5 linked regions of the Oryctolagus cuniculus genome follow. The protein of the gene in region 2 purifies or fractionates together with the protein of the main gene of each other region. This does not show direct contact. Links are inferred from orthologs where the notes say so. Each region holds a gene or a part of one and is shown on either strand. Other genes may lie near its edges. The genes, in order: RASSF3, STK3, RASSF6, MAP1B and MAP1S.

Region 1 (2,896 bases), on a different chromosome or scaffold from region 2:
CCTGAAGCTTAACATCATCCTCACAGAACTACAACAACCTAAAAGAAGATAAGAACACAAAAACCCAGAGTTCATGCTTCCAAGCACTGTAGGCGCTCCTGCCAAGGCTGCCTGCGGGCCCCCGCTCGCTGCCATGGAACAAGCTAGCAGAGTCCCTTACACAGTGGCTAAAGGTGCAGGAGGCTGCGTGACCAGGTCGTAGGAACTAGATCTAGAGAGAAAAGGGGGAAGACCCTAGCGTCCCAGGGCGAGCACACAGCCCTCTGCAAAGCGAGGCACTTGGGTGCGTGGGTCCCGCCGCGTGCCTTCCTGGCAGGGAGCCGGCCGCTCTACCCGGGCTTCCAGCCCTCGCCCAGGGCCTCTTCCAGCTTGTGTCTGTAGGCAGAGTAGCGCCGCCTCAGGCTCTGCAGCTGCTCGTCTTCTTCTTTGTCCAGCATGCGCAAGAAGTTCTGCAGCTCTGGAAGGCTGAAGGCTTCCCACTGTGAAACAACACACACACAAAATCCTGCCAGGTACTGAACTCGGAGTCAGGACTCAAGCAAGGGGCTGCTGATGCTGTAACACAGCGGGTAAAGCCGCCGCCTGCACTGCCAGCATCCCATATGGGCGCCGGCTGGAATCCCGACTGCTCCACTTCTGATCCAGCTCCCTGAGGGTGGCCTGGGAAAGCAGCAGATGATGGCCCAGGTGTTTGGGCCCCTGCACCCACGTGGGAGACCAGGATGAAGCTTCTGGCTCCTGGCTTCAGCCTGGCCCAGCCCTGGTGTTGAAGTCATCTGGGGAGTGAACCAGTGGATAGAAGTTCTAACTCTGATTTTCAAATAAATAAATAAATATTTAAAAACAAATAAATAAATTAAAAAATAATTTTTGTAAAGTGAGAAACATGGAACAGAAGAGCAAAATATTACATTAGAATATTGTGAGGGGCCAGCGCTGTGGCGTAGCGGGTAAAGCCACCACCTGCAGTGCCAGCATCCCATATGGCTGCTCCACTTCTGATCCAGCTCTTTGCTATGGCCTGGGAAGGCAGTGGAAGAAGGTCCAAGTCCTGGCTCCTGGCTTCAGATCAGCGCAGCTCTGGCCGTTGCAGCCAACTGGGCAGTAAACCAGCAGATGGAAGACTTCTCTCTGTCTCTCTGTCTGCCCTCTCTTTGTGTAACTATGACTTTCAAATAAATAAATCTTTTCAAAAAAGAATATTCTGTGAATTTGTCATAATTAAACTGTACGTTAAGGTCTTCAAAATAAGGGCATTATAAAGGGTCTTCTCCCTCTGTCCTGACAACTATGGAAGCTTTCCTCCCTCAGGTTAGTTTCCCTTAAATAACTGAGGAACAAGAACACCACACACAGGCCCAAGAAAGCAGTCTGGAGCCCTGAAACACAATGTACAGTAAGTTTTAAAACTAAGTTAACCTAATTCCTCCCCAGGGTTGCTTTAAACCATGTGAAATCCTTAAAAGCCCTATAGCAAGAAAAATAAACCAGTGACAAGACTATGCTAATGAGTCTGGCTTGGGCTTTCTCGGGCACAGATGAGACCTCTGCACCCAGCTCCCTCTCCAAAACCAGAGTCGGAATTCCTTTAAAAGCTTCAAGATCAGAAGGAACTTCAAAAATGTCTCAAGTCACAATCTTCCTAAAACTTCCTGAGCTGAGTGCTAATTTACACATCAGCATACTATCTGCAAAGCACATTTACATGCATGTCTAATCGGTGAGCACCTTTTCAGACAGCCCAGTTCCCCTTTACAGAGGGCATTATGACTGCAAGATTTACCCATGGTCAAGCCTTGAGGCTTGTATACAGTAGGAAGCAGGGCCCTGGTTTCCTAACTTCAAAAATTTTATTTATTTGAAAATCAGAAAGACAAACAGAGATCTCCCATCTGCTGGTTCACTTCCTAAATGCCCACAACAGCCAGGGCTGGGCCAGGCTGAAGCCAGGAGCCTGGGACTCAACCCAGATCTCCCACTTGGGTAGAGGAACCCAAGTACTTGAGCCATTGCCTGCTGCCTCCCAGAGGAGCTGGGACTCAAATCTGTGTCCTTCGATATGGGACACAGGCATCTCACGTGGTCTCTTAACTGACACATCAAATGCCTGCCCCACGGTTTCGTAACCTTTAACCTAGAAAACACATCCACATTGCATCGCCTTCCATATCGTCTCCTGTTCTAAACAAAAGACAGAGGCCCAGAGCTTAAGAGATGTGTTCTCGTGTCACTCTCAGGTTGATACTTCTAGAGGACAGTCTCAAGAGCTTTTATTCTGAACTGGCCCCAGTACAATCTTCCTGGAAACAGAAGGCAGACGATGCACTCAGAGAATTTATTAATGATTCGACTGGGCAAAGAAGGGGGAGACTCTCCAAAGTCAAATGTCTTTCGTGGTAAAGCGATCAGATTTCCTACATTGCCCTTTAGAGAGAAACTGGCCTGAAGACTCCTGTTAAGTAGCAAACATATGGAGAGTGTCAACTTTCAAAGTTCAGCTGGGTAAGAGTGCTGTGGAGGCAGGAAGGGATGGAAATGACTCTCTAGATGGAAATTTAAAATCTTCACTTCCTCCGACCTCTGAAAATTGCAGACCAACACAGTATTGTAAGAGAATTACACTGCAGGTTAACTTGGGGCTCACTCATTCAGAATCTCCTCTCTCTCTCCCCCACTCCTCTGCCCCTCTCGCTCTTTCTTCCCTGTGGCCGAGCCACCAGACTGGAACAATAAAACAGGGCCAGCTGCTCCGTTCAGTTTAAAGCAATAATGAACAACCACTTACCTCTCCGATTTCATGTTCACGAAGAACAAAGCTAAGTGTGTCTGTTCTGGGCCCTGCCACCAAACGCAGGTACAGTGGATGCTCCCGGTCTGACAGCTTGCAGGCGTAGAC
Region 2 (2,702 bases):
TCAAGGGAGAGCTGAAACATATATTCTAAGTTCAGTCTTCATTTTTAATAACCTTTTTTTCAATATTCATCACGATTTTTCCAATCTCATCATTTGTATCTAACTGCATTGGTATTACCTGGGGCACTCATGCATCTTCAAAAGGAAGGGGAGCTTCCCAGGGAGGATGAACCTCCTGTGGCAGGCATCACTGAGCTCACCTGCCTGTCCGCCCCGCCTCCCTCTGCAGGGCTGCACGCCGCACTTCCCAGCTCCTTGCAAAGTGAGGGAGGCCTCATGACTCGTTCTGAATACCAGGTTGCTGAGGACCGGCAAGGCTTTCCTGCAGGCTGGAGCTGGCCTGAGACTCGCCCCAACTCCCATCCCTGGCTGTGATGACCACAAGGTCCCCGAGTGTGGATGACAGCAGCAGAGCACCGCCCACGTGGGATGGGCTGAGTGAGGAGTCGCCATGTTAGTTAATAAAAACCCACGTTAGTGATAATAAAGATAACGAGATGCAAAGTGCTGGGTGAAGTGTATTTGTCTTCATGATTTCCACGTAGTAACCGAACACACCAGAGTGAACACTGTCAGCACAGCTACAGGCAGCTTAGGAAACGTGGTCCCAGCTCAGTCTCACCAGTGCGCATTTCCCTTGGAAGTGAGTTTCTTTGTAACGGTTTTAATCTTTTTTATTTCCCTAGTCTCCAAGGCTTGCACAGTCCAGTACAAATGTTTTTGCTATTTTATTATCAGGCACAAGATGTTTACCAATTCCTAGGAAATAAATGAAATCAACAAAAAGTCCTGTGTCAATAGAACGCATTTCCATGGAAATAAATTTGATGAGCTATTACAGTTTGATTCAGTTTAGCTATCAGACTTACACATGAAACACAAAACAACGCTAACAAAGTACATTTGTCAAAAGGTTTAATTTCCTTTAAAATATTTCCCATGCTTTTTTGTGCAAGGGTTCCACTGATTTCTTTGGTTTTAAACATTATAGCTCTGTTTGACCTAAATATATATAGTTCTGTTTGTAGCAAACATCAAAAATCAAAACAATTAAACAAAATCTCAAAAGGTAAAAATGGAATTATTGCTTCAATATAAAAAATGCTCTATCCATTTGGGCACTATTACTATTATTGCTTTGTTGGTATTGAAAAACTATCTTGGAAATCAAGGAAGGTAGCCCAGAGCTCCCTGCTGGAAGTATCATTTTGTTGTGCATCATTATCTATTAAAATGTCCCCACCTGCTCCTACTCTATCCTGATCTTGTCCTTAAAAAATAAGACAATGTGAAATAGCATAAATAAATAAGTTTACCTAGTGAGATACAATAAATAGGCTACTAGATAGGAATAAAAAGTACTGTGACATAAAGCCCTTCAGTGCTGTACAATGGAACAATAGCTTTGGATTTTCAAGGTCTCTACACATAGCCTTTGTTCTAGAACATGGTTTTGCTGCTGGTATGCAGTGGGCGGGGGGGCGGGGAGAACACACTTCTGGTCACTTAAAGATGAGAACACAGTGGAAACAACTGGAGAGTCTGCCTTTAGTTACCCGGGTATGTACCATCATCAGTTTTGGACTTTGGCCTAGAGCGTAAATCTAAGGGATTAAGAAGACAAAAAAAAATCACAATGTTCCTTCAATTCTTAGTGGTTTCTTGGTCTCCAGAATAGCCATGGAAACAGGAAAAGGTCGGCTCAGAAGTTCTGCTGCCTCCTCTTCTTGGCGTCCATGGCGTCCAGGATCGGCTGCCTCTTCACGGTGTAGCGCTGTCGGAGCTCCTCGATCTCCCGCTCCATCATGGGGTCCAGCGCCTTCAACCGCATCTGCAGCTCCTCTAAACTCAGGTTTTTTAACTAGACAGAGAAGAAAACAAAGATGTTACTGTAGTAAAACCACCTACTGTATGTCCAAGACTAAAGAGTTTTAGCATAAATATTTCAGCAAATTCTTTACAACGGTTTTGAAGTATGGTTCAACAGCTCAAACAGGAATCCATTCCCTAAAGAACCCAGAAGCCAGATCTTGTAAGAATCTCAAGTAATTTGCAACAAAATGATCAAAACCTCTGCTTTTGGGACAGAGCAAAGGAGAAAAATGTATCTGTTGAAAAAAAAAAAAAAGGCACAAAGACAAACCCGCCAACAAACAGGTTGTTGGGTGGCCTGCCCAGCTCGGAGCGGCAGAGGCCTGGCCACGGGCAGTGTCACCCCAGGAATGTCCCATGAGGCCCTGGGCAGCGCCATGATCCTCCATGTGACCGTAAGTGCACATTTTAAGCACAGTCGGGAAATCCCATGGCGAGCCTGATAAAACATGGTTTTAAATGAGCGTCCCCGGTGTGCCAGCCTGGTACGAACAGCGCTCCCCAAGTACTGCCGTGGGCCTGGCGCGTGTGGACACGAAGCAGAGCGCGGCCACGCTGGGGGTATGGACAACGGCAGAAGACAGGTCTCACGTCACGTGTGTAAGAGCGATAACATCTATTCTGAGGCATAATAGGATTTATGGCATTTTGCCAAGCTTTACTGTATCGATTTCTATGTTGAAACAGCAAGATATGGATTATCTCCTGAGAAACACATTTTAGGGATGTTGTCTAAGGGCTTATGAGATGTCCTGAAATATGTCACTGAACGTGCTTTTATCTTCTTAACATTAAAAAAAATCTAAAACCCTGTTTCCTTTCAAATTGAA
Region 3 (3,520 bases), on a different chromosome or scaffold from region 2:
GCAGTGGAGGATGGCCCAAGTGCTTGGGCCCCTGCACCCGCATGGAGACTGGGAAGAAGCACCTGGCTCCTGGCTTCTGATCGGCACAGCTCCAGCCATTGCAGCCATCTGGAGAGTGAACCAACAGAAAAAAGACCTCTCTCTCTATCTCTTCCTCTCACTGTCTGTAACTCTACCTCTCAAATAAATAAATAAAATCTTAAAAAAAAAAAAAAAAGAAATACGTGGTTGGGAGCTGTTGGTATAGAGATGGAATTCAAAGCGCCTGGAGGTCACCAAGGACATCGGTACAGATCCAGAGAAGAGCCCTAGGGATAGGCAATAAGATTAGGTGTAAAAAGCCTTCAAGTGAGTTTCTTAGCCAGCCTCTAAGGAGATATTTTCTGATGGTAGATGGTAGAAAATATTCTGAAATCCCTTGTCTCGAAAACACATACCAATGCTTGATAACAGATGGAGTAGTCAATTCTAGAGAACAAGAATTACATCACTTCAGACAGTAGTTGTTCCATGAGGTTTTTATGTAAAGAATTAATTAGAGTCTCTTTGGACAAAGAAAGGATGTTATGCACTAATAATATAGAATCTGCATTGTGTGCTGACATTTCAAAGAAAGACCTTTGTGTTGGGTTGTTGAAAACACTTGACCTCTGAGTAATCCGAAATGAACTAACTGAAAAATGGGACAAAGAGCAAAACTTTGTTTCTAGAGTGGCTTAAAGACAGTTTACCAGACAAAGAAATAAGCAGCAGTAATAATTACCAAGCACATCTGGAGTGCTTGCCAGGTCCTGTGAATTAGGGATTCTCATAATGTCCATTTTTCCGAAGAGGAAGCCCAGACTTCAAAAGGTAGTCAGCAGCTTGCTCAAGGCCGAGTAACTAGGAAGCAGCAAAGCCAGGGTTTGAACACAAGTCTAGCTGATTCCAACGTCTGGCATTTTCTTTATTCTCTTAAATAAGAATTGAGTCATTCATGTTGTCTAACAGTTGAATTTTCATAATAACAGTAGCTAATTGTTGTCATAATGGTTACTGGATGGTTGACATATAACTCTTCTTGCTTCTATATTTTCCCACGTTTCTATAACAATTACACATTAATTACTTTAATAACAGAAACAGACTTACTCCTATTAAAGATAAAAATAGATTAGAAAATAAGTTCTATGGGAACATTGTTCTCAGTGTTGTTTAAAAACAAGTAGTGTTCAACACATGTTTTTAAATTTTTCTTTAATGCACAGCATTTTCTTCTTTTATTACACTATTTCTAACTTAAAAGAATTTCCAGGGCCAGTGCTGTGGCATAGTGGGAAAAGCCGCCACCTGCAGTGCCGGCATCACATATGGGCGCCAGTTCCAGAGCTGGCTGCTCCATTTTCAATCCAGCTCTATGCTATGGCTTGGGAAGACAGTAGAAGATGGCCCAAGGCCTTGGTTCCCTGCACCCGTGTGGGAGACCCGGAAGAAGCTCCTGTCTCCTGGCTTCAGATCAGCACAGCTCCAGCAGTCACAGCCACTTGGGGGAGTGAACCAACGGATGGAAGACCTCTCTCTCTCTCTGCCTCTCCTTCTCTCTGTGTAACTCTCACTTTCAAATGAATAAATAAATCTTCAAAAAATTTTCCTAAAATTCTATTGACTTTTCAAAACTATCACTTTGATAGTGTTTTGGACTTTACAGTGTGTTTTCACATGTACTCTGTATACAGAATTCTCATGTATTCTGTATAACTTTTTGAGCTAAACTTTTCTTGTTCAGAAATAAGAAAACAAGTGCTAAGTGTCCCGATAGTTCTTTCCTATGATTTCTAGTCCAGTGCAATTTTAAAACCTGCTTTAATTTTAAATTAAACAGAATTACAGAAATACAGAATTCCACTGAATGGACGATTCAGAGTTCAGACTATCTTAGCATACTACGCCCTCTGGTGGATGTGCCATTAGCATTGTGACTAATTTTATTGGGTATGGTTTTCAAAAATAGAATATTTCAAAAATAAGTCTTTTGTAGATAAATTAATAAAAATCATTCTTGGGATTTTTGAATCTGTTATTGTTTCTCATGAACTTAATTTCCACAACATCAGTTAAATCATTTAGCTTCTATAAATCATACAAAAACAACGTGGGGGAATATTGGTTTCTTCCTTAGGCAGAAGATGGCAACCTAATTGTGGAAGGAATGCTGGACATTTTCTGGGGAGTAAAACGACCTATACAGCTGAAAATACAAGATGAGAACCAAATCTCTCCTTTCACTACGTTGAAGTCTCCAGAAACCTTTTCCACCAAAGGGTAAGCCATCTTTCATGCTTTTAGTTCCTTAGATGATATGTATATTTACATTCGTTGTATGCACTCTGAAAGAGGGAGCTGATGCTTGTTGGTAAATGCTTACACAGTGGATTTGAATCCCCTGTGAAGTAGGAGTTTGTAAGTCAGGACTCTGCAAAGTTATGTAATTTGTGCAAGCTCCCCGCTAAGGTTGGCAGAAGTTAGAACCTTAGTTCTACGGGCAACGGAATCTGAGCTCTGAATCCCTTTACAGTATTGCTTCTCTCCTGAGAGTCTACGTTCTTTCATTGGGAAAAAAAAATATTGTAACCCAGGATTTGTTTATCCCTATCCTAGTCTCCTAAACATGGGGCAGAATTTAGACATCTCTCACTGGAGCAAGGGATTCTTCCTGATTTCTAATAAAGACTTAATCATGCCAGACCTGATTGTTCTGATCCTGCTCAACAGAGCACAGCAAAGTGCATTAGAAGTTAAATAAATACGCAAAACAATTTCCTGTATGGCTTACCTTGAATATCCAAGTTGAGCTGTTTTCTTCATTATTCCTTCCACTTATCAAAAAAATTAATTAATAAGTATTCCCGACAGGAATATACCTACAAAATTCCCTCCTACCTCTGCTTCTCCCTTCCTTCCTTCCTTCTATTTTTTTAAATTCTTGACTTCCAGCTCTTCTCCCATCTCTACATGAACACTGAGCTATGAGCCTTCTCTTCACAGCATTCTGTCCTCCCATTCATTGTTAGGGTGAGTCAGGTTCTCTCAGAGGGGAGGACAGGAAAAGGGCTGCCAGGACAATTTGCACAATGTGGTCTTTGGCCACAATAAGAACAAACAGCTGTCACCTCAAGGGAAGTCTGCTTTTCATTTGGAGAAAACATTTAAGCCCCACGATGACTGTTGGCTTGCCAATGTTTCCAAACATTATGCCCCAGCATTAAGAACATTTTTAATTCCCTACACATATTGTTCAGGTTCTCATTCTCCTGAATCTCTGAGCAGGAGACTACCAGCTTCGAGACACCTATTTGCCATCCTTTAAGACTCAGGTCAGGTGACATTTTTCAGAGAGCCTTTTCTGGCCCTTCAGTGTGTAGTGGGTACATTGACACTTATCTACATCACTCTCAGAGCATACAGCTTCCTGCATTTTTATGAACTGATTTCCCCCTCTGTAGTGTGAGCTTCAGGATGGGAGAGAAGAAGCTTTGTTCAT
Region 4 (4,168 bases), on a different chromosome or scaffold from region 2:
GAAACAAATTGAGTAAAAGAAAACTACCACAGACATCAAAGTAATAGTGGTTCAGAAGGATGGAAAAAAAAAATCAGTAGCCAAGGCTGAGCAACAATGACTCAATGGCTGACCTCTGGAAAACTGCTTGTCACTGAGTCTCCTTCGCCCGCTCTGAGCTCGGGTGCTGGCCTCCCCTCTCCACCAGTAACTGGATGTCTTGCCCAGCTGGCTAGGAAACTTTCACTCTCTGGTTACCGGTGCCTGCAGCTTTCCAATGGGCTTGTCGCAGGTCCCCAAGTGCTGCTGGCCAGGCAGGATGGTGGGCTGCAGTGGTTGGCTGCCTGTCATACCCCCATTGCAGGGGCTCAGGAAAGCCATAAGAACCAAGAGTGTGTGACCCGTAGGCACAGCTGTTGACAACTAAGACACTGGCTTACTCTGGAAATCTTGGAATATCCTCTGTTTTCTTGAATATGCCATCTAGTAGTAAAGCTGTATTGATTCCTCTTCCCCCAAACTCCAACTCCCACTGCCCCTCCTTCACCCCTTCCTGGGACAGAAGCGGCATTCCATCAATTGGGGAGCAAGGTTCTAAACCAAAGGCAATACAAATCCCTTGTGCTACATCTATTTTAAAAGACATCATGGCCACGTAATTTTGCTTGTGTGTTCCCCAGGGAAGTACACAGTACATTATGGTCACTTACTCCTGCTGAGTGGAGACAGCACCTTCTCTAGATTGTTCTGCCGGATACTATCTGCTCTATTAGTAGGAACAGAACATCTGTATCTCAGATAACACATCTGTTTTCCTCTCATTCCCATGAGCACTGCAGAGCCAGCACTTGGTTGCTTTTCTTTTTTTTTTTTTTTTAATCACTGGCCCTTGCTGAGTCCAAAGCCTGAGCAGCAGTCGGCCTCGGCTTTGCATTTTTGACGTGTTCGTCCAGGAAAGAGACGACGACTGCTGTTTGGAATATCTAGGTAAACAGGTGTAAATGCACAAGGGCAAAGCCAGCAAGTTCCGTCTCCCTGGGGGATGGGAGGGGGGTACCCTCAGCTGAGGCCGCCGCAGCCTGCACAGCCCCTGAGCTCCAGCCCAGGCAGGTCAGGAGGCAGAGGCCTCACTGTGCACCTCGGACAAGGCGGCCGGCTGCACTCTGCACAGGGAAACGCATCCCACCCTCCTGCACGGCCGGCGGCGGGGGCGGGGGTGGGGACGGGTGCGGGTGCGGGTGCGAGCAGGGGCTTGCGAGTGTCCTCCCCCTTCGGGTTCCCCAGCCCCTGGGCTCGCGGCCCTGCCCAGACCATTGTCCGCACACCTCGTCCCTCTGGCTTCCGGGCCGCGGGCGAGATGATTTGCTGCGGATGACATCAGCCCCGGGCCAACGGTTGGAAGAGCGGAGCCTGCCACCGCGTGAGGATGTGCCGGGTGGTCCCTTCCTCCTCCTCCTCCTCCTCCTCCCCGGCTCCCTGCCCGCTGTCCATATAAAAGCGGCGCCGCCTCCCCGCCCGCTCTCACTGCCCGCTCCTCTCCGCCGCGCTGGGAGAGGGCGGAGGGGAGGCGGTGCGAGGCGCCGGGAGGAGGGGGACGCAGGGGGCGGAGCGCGGACGGCACCTTCGGGGATAATCCTTTCTCCTGCCGCAGAGGCGAGCGCGGAGCGAGTACTGCGCGCAGCTCAGCGGCCGGCAGGATGGCGACCGTGGTGGTGGAGGCCGCCGAGCCGGAGCCTTCCGGCGGCGTCGCCAACCCGGCGGCGTCCACCTCGCCCAGCTTGTCGCACCGCTTCCTCGACAGCAAGTTCTACTTGCTGGTGGTCGTCGGCGAGATCGTGACCGAGGAGCACCTGCGGCGCGCCATCGGCAACATCGAGCTCGGTAAGCGGCCCCGGGCGCGCGCAGGCTCGACCCCACCCAGGGCGCCGCGGCCCCGGCCCCGGCCCCTCCCGCCCTCCGTCTGGGGCTGGTTCCGAGAGCGGTACGAATGCCCAGGTCTGAGACCCGGGGCGAGGTCGCTAATAACCTTGAGGGACCTGGCACTGGGCGAGGTCCGCTGCGTGGAGGGCAGGTGTCAGGGGCGCAGAGGCCACAATACCGCCGCAGCCCTACGACCAAGGGCGGGGCGGGGCACACCTGGGGCTGTAACTCCAAGAGCGGGTACCCCGCGTGGCCAGCGTCTCAGCACGGCTCCCCAGCCTCCCAGAAATGCCCTTTCCGGCTTAAACCGCCCGATCCTTTCTTTCCCTGGGTGACTCGGCGGGTAGGAGGGCCACGCCCGCTCCCCCACCCCAGGGCGCAAGGATGGAGAGCCACCCGTGCCGGGTTCCCAGACGAAGCCCGTCTCCCTCCCGCCCCCGGGGTCCGCAGTCGCAGCTTTTCGAAAGGACAATGGGACCCCCAAGCTGCAGGGTGGGGCCGCCGCTTCTCCGAGTCTCGTCTTCGGAGGAGGGGGCGGGGGCGTCGCGGGGAGGGCCTGCCCCTCGCCGCGGTGCGCACCCCGAGCGTGCCCCGCAGAGGCCGAGCAGCGGTGCCTGGGCAACCCAGGGCGGGGCCCCGAGGGTCCGTCGGGTGCCGGCCGAGCAGAGCCGACCCGGCTGCCGCAGCGCCCCCACCTGCCCGCCGCACCTGCCCCCCGCACTGCGGCGCCCCCTCCTGCGGCTGCCCGGCTGGGTGGCCCTCAGGCCCCCGGGGGCGCCGCCCCAGCCCCCGCCCGACCTCCGCAGCCCCGCCGGGGGCCGCGAGTCCCGCCGCAGCCCTAGCCCGCGCTCTATTCTCCAGGGTGGTGCTGAAGCGATCCTGCCGGGAGCCGCGGGCTGGTGGGCGTGGTGCAGTCCGCACTGCGGTCTCTACGGCAGCCCGAGGCGGACAAAGGGCGTTCACGCAGCGCTCGTTCCCGCTCCCCCATCCCGAGAAAAGACGAAAGAAAAAAACCTGGTTTTAGGCGAAAACTGAAGCGCTCGTTTTGCGCCTCTGTGTTTGGAAACGGCCAGGGGTCTCCAGAACAAAAGGCTGCAGGGTGGGGACGGGCACTGCAGACCTGGTTCTTTTGTTTAACTTTAAAGCGCTGATTTTTTTTTTCCTTGCAGCTTCAGAAAAATCTGAGCAGAAAGCACTAATGATACTTTATTTGAAAAAAATTCAAGAGCAGGAGGCATTTCCATAGTGAAGTGGCCTGAGCATCTCAATAACCCTTCATTTTGAAAATATAGGCCTTTGATCTGATGTGATTTAATTTAAATTTAGATTTTTTTGGGGGGTCCCCTGTTTTTCCTTCGTTTCACTCGTACCGACTTTGGGTGTGGCCATTGTGGGAATGAATGACTTCGGATTTTTTTTTTTTAATATCGTTTGTCTGCAACGTTGCCGGGAAATAATAGCACATCAGGGGGGTGGCTTTCACGCTATAAAATCTGCATCAGCACCCGGTGCGGTGCCAGGAGTGGGACCCTTGCCCCCATTTCGGAGACGCGGCCCTGACAGGCAGGAAGGCTCAAGGTCACAGCAGCCATGGGGTGACTGACAGAAGCGCAGTACTGCAGCGTCACTCTTTTTCCGACCCTGTCATGATGGGAGCGCCGGGCCGGCGGACATCACAGGGCGATTTTCGTGCCGCCGCGCCTGCCTTTGTAGAGTCATCCACTTGTGGGCAGCGCCCCGAGCGGGGAGCGGGGAGCCGCTTCAGCAGGCACCTGGCGACCGTGGAGATCCGCGCTGCTTTGTTGCCCAGCTGATCACCCTTGCGGTGCCTCGGTCCCCAGGGGGCTTACTCGGGCAGCTTCGACGCACTGCTGGGCTTTTATTCTTGTTCACAATGTCAGGGCTCCTAGATAACTCCTGACTTAGAAATTAAAAAAAAAAAAATTTGTGCACAGTATTATGTAGAGGGAGAGAGCGAACCTCACCCACCAGCAGTGCCATGAATTTTCACAAATGAGTGCCCCTGTGCCATCCAGCTCAGGAAAACACATTCCCAGAATCCCGGAAGCCCCCTCGGTGCCTTCCTGATTTTTAATTCCCTCCTTTGGTCAGGTGTTTGCATGGAACTTCAAAATGGCTGTATTGATCCCATTAAACATCACCCGAGTGAGTGAGCAAAAGCCATTTCCTTCCGCAGCCGTAACAGATGCTGCTCCCCGCTCCCCTCCACCCGGAGATTGCTCTCCTGGGTCCTGGGGTCTGGATGCAG
Region 5 (2,785 bases), on a different chromosome or scaffold from region 2:
AGGCTCGGGTGCCCGGTGGCTGGGCCGGGCTGGACCGGACCGGCGCCCCACGCGGCGGCTACACCCACCGCCCTGGGCTTGGTCCTCCCGTGGCTGCCGGCGCCCCCTTCTCTGTAAGGCGGGTGCCGCCCCAGGGGGCGGGGCCGCAGCAGGTGTCACTCAGCGTCGGGGCTGCGTGCTCCCGCCCGCGCTGGGCAGGGTCTGCGGGCGCCCCGCGTCTTGCTAGGCCTCGTCGTTCTGTGGTTTGTTTGTGTAGTTAAACGGCGGCCCTGACGCACGGGGGGGGGGGGGGGGGGGCAGCTCACTAAGGTGTTGATTGACTTCCGGCATCTTCTCCCGCGCTGGCTTTTCTTTGCAAGGCATAGAGAGGTTCGGTACCCAAACAGGAGCTGGGATTGGACCAGGCAGGAGCCAGGAGCTCCATCCGGGTCTCCCGCGCAGGTGCAGGGACCCAAGCACTCGGGCCATCTTCTACTGCTTTCCCAGGACTGAGCAGGGAGCGGCCCGGAAGTGGAGCTGCCGAGACTCGAGCCGGCGCCCACGTGGGATGCCGGCGCCAGCCCCGGCCCCGTACTGGTCGCTTCCTCGTCCCGCAGCCAGGGTCAGGGCGCGCTGCGTCGGTCACCCGGGATGCGGGTGTTCGGGGGTGTCTCCTCCGCTCAGCGTGTTTGTGCCTGGGGGTGTTTGTTCACCACCCCACCCCCCCAGCTGGCTCCGGCCCGGCCATGCGTGGCTCAGGAGCCTGGGCAGTGAATCCCCGTTTTGCCCCCGAGCCGCTGGCGAGTCCAGGCTCCGGTCACCAGGGCCACCCCGGGTTGGCCGAGTCTGTGTGTCGCTGTGGGCTCACGTGCAGGCCCTGCTTGCTTGCCCCAACCTTTATCGCTCTTTTTGCATTTTTTTAAGAATTTATTTGCAATGCAGAGAGGGAGAGAGAGGTCTTCCATCCGCTGGGTCACTCCCCAAATGGCCAGAACAGCCAGAGCTGTGCCAGGCTGGAGCCAGGAGCCAGGAGTTTCTTCCCGGTCTCCCACGTGCAGGGGCCCAAGCACTTGGGCCATCTTCCACTGGTTTCCCAGGCCACAGCAGAGAGCTGGACCGGAAGTGGAGCGGCTGGGACTTGAACCCGCGCCCCTGTGGGATGCCACACGGCAGGCGGCTGCTTCACCCGCTGAGCCCCGGCACCGGCCCCTCCTTTGGCCTCTTCAGCCTCAGGGCGGGGGCTGCAGCCTGGGGTCGGGAGTTCAGGGCCTTGTCCGTGGGTGGAGAGGCGGCACCTCCTAGGGTCTTCCCCTGTGACTGCCAAGGCCACGGCTCCACATCAGCATGGGGGGGGCTGGGCTGCTCCCTGGTCCGTATGACCCCCGGGCCTGGCGCGCCCCCCCGAGTGGACGCCACACAGCAGTGTCCACTTCCGGGAGGCAGCCTCCCCCAGGTAGCCCTTCCTGATTGACTTCTCGCTCTCGCTGACCCTGTGGCTGACCCCCGAGGCGCAGCTCCTGGCATTGCAGACTGACTAAAGGATTGTGGTCTGCGAGCCCGCTGAGGGCCTGGAGCCCCGGGCGCCCTCGCTCACCGCCGACCCGCTTCCTGCCCTCAGGCCCCGCCGGCAGCCGGCCCGGAGGCTCAGCCGCCGCGCCCGGCTCCCCCGTCTACCTGGATCTGGCCTACCTGCCCAGCGGGAGCGGCGCGCGCCTGGTGGACGAGGAGTTCTTCCGGCGCGTGCGCGCACTCTGCTACGTCATCAGCGGCCAGGACCAGCGCAGGGAGGAGGGGATGCGCGCCGTGCTGGACGCGCTGCTGGCCGGCAAGGAGCGGTGGGACCGCGAGCTGCAGGTGCGCACCGCCTCGCCCTGGGCCCCCTGGCTCCTGGCCACGCCCTCGTGGGGCGGGAACAGGCGGCTTCCGGGCGGAGGGGACCCCTGAGGGTCGGGCTCCTTCCATCCCGCCTCTGCTTGGCCTCTGCACGCTCACAGGGGCCAGTCAAGCGCGGACTTCTCGTTCCCGGCGGGGGGCGGGGCCTGGAGGGAGGGGGCGCCCCTGACCGTGTACTGCCCCCCCGCAGGTGACCCTGATCCCCACCTTCGACTCGGCGGCCATGCACCGCTGGTACGAGGACACGCACGGCCGGCACCAGGCGCTGGGCGTCACGGTGCTGGGCAGCAACAGCATGGTGTCCATGCAGGACGAGGCCTTCCCCGCCTGCAAGGTCGAGTTCTAGCCCCGCCCCCGCCCCGCAGCCCCGCCCCCGGAAATAAAGCCCCTGCGCACCCCCACCCCGGCCTGGACGCTTCTTCCGGCGGGACCCCAGGCCTCGGCGGCCTCCTCCCCGGGCCTTGCAACAGCAGAGGGGCCGCCGGCGCCCCCTGGCGGTGACCAAACCCTGCTTGAGACGAGGGTTCGAGAGGGCGTTGGGAGGGGGCGGCCCAGCTGGGTTCCGGGCCGGGAGAGGCTCCACTGGAGACGGGAGACGGAGACGCAGGGCAGGGCCGGGTCCTCTCCCGAAGGCGCAGGGCAGGGGTCAGCCGGGCGTGGACCAGTGCGAGCAGCCAGAGGTGGGGGGAGCGGGTCTGGGGGGGGTTACGGCCACGGGGCAGGTGCACCCCAGGGGAACCACCCAGCGTTGTGGGGGCGCAGCGGGCTCAGTGCCTCCCCAGACTCCCACATCCGGGACTGGAGCGGCCGGGTTTGAGTCCCGGCCGCTCCACGTCCCACCCGGCTCCCCCACGTGCGAACCCTGGGAGGGGAGGGTCCCGCCGGGTCCCGTCCCCCCATGTGGGGGGCCTGG

What was found.
Region 1: the proteins of STK3 (region 2) and RASSF3 purify together in Homo sapiens (affinity purification with mass spectrometry; 4 studies listed by BioGRID and IntAct, with this or other methods). This does not show direct contact. The link is inferred for Oryctolagus cuniculus from reciprocal best matches to the Homo sapiens genes STK3 and RASSF3.
Region 3: the proteins of STK3 (region 2) and RASSF6 purify together in Homo sapiens (affinity purification with mass spectrometry; 4 studies listed by BioGRID and IntAct, counting the BioPlex papers as one, with this or other methods). This does not show direct contact. The link is inferred for Oryctolagus cuniculus from reciprocal best matches to the Homo sapiens genes STK3 and RASSF6.
Region 4: the proteins of STK3 (region 2) and MAP1B purify together in Homo sapiens (affinity purification with mass spectrometry; 4 studies listed by BioGRID and IntAct, with this or other methods). This does not show direct contact. The link is inferred for Oryctolagus cuniculus from reciprocal best matches to the Homo sapiens genes STK3 and MAP1B.
Region 5: the proteins of STK3 (region 2) and MAP1S purify together in Homo sapiens (affinity purification with mass spectrometry; 3 studies listed by BioGRID and IntAct, with this or other methods). This does not show direct contact. The link is inferred for Oryctolagus cuniculus from reciprocal best matches to the Homo sapiens genes STK3 and MAP1S.

The regions. Positions count from the first base shown.
Region 1 is NC_091442.1:66,842,587-66,845,482, reverse strand, and holds the end of RASSF3 (ras association domain-containing protein 3), read right to left. Parts: intron 2,896-2,896; coding exon 2,786-2,895; intron 777-2,785; coding exon 528-776; 3' UTR 510-527; downstream 1-509.
Region 2 is NC_091437.1:124,029,591-124,032,292, forward strand, and holds the end of STK3 (serine/threonine-protein kinase 3), read right to left. Parts: intron 1,862-2,702; coding exon 1,703-1,861; 3' UTR 501-1,702; downstream 1-500. UniProt on the Homo sapiens protein: Stress-activated, pro-apoptotic kinase which, following caspase-cleavage, enters the nucleus and induces chromatin condensation followed by internucleosomal DNA fragmentation.
Region 3 is NC_091439.1:92,036,899-92,040,418, forward strand, and holds part of RASSF6 (ras association domain-containing protein 6), read left to right. Parts: intron 1-2,158; coding exon 2,159-2,301; intron 2,302-3,520.
Region 4 is NC_091445.1:38,862,937-38,867,104, reverse strand, and holds the start of MAP1B (microtubule-associated protein 1B), read left to right. Parts: upstream 1-1,364; 5' UTR 1,365-1,676; coding exon 1,677-1,860; intron 1,861-4,168. UniProt on the Homo sapiens protein: Facilitates tyrosination of alpha-tubulin in neuronal microtubules. Phosphorylated MAP1B is required for proper microtubule dynamics and plays a role in the cytoskeletal changes that accompany neuronal differentiation and neurite extension.
Region 5 is NC_091447.1:65,423,460-65,426,244, forward strand, and holds the end of MAP1S (microtubule-associated protein 1S), read left to right. Parts: intron 1-1,597; coding exon 1,598-1,833; intron 1,834-2,062; coding exon 2,063-2,218; 3' UTR 2,219-2,273; downstream 2,274-2,785. UniProt on the Homo sapiens protein: Microtubule-associated protein that mediates aggregation of mitochondria resulting in cell death and genomic destruction (MAGD). Plays a role in anchoring the microtubule organizing center to the centrosomes. Binds to DNA. Plays a role in apoptosis.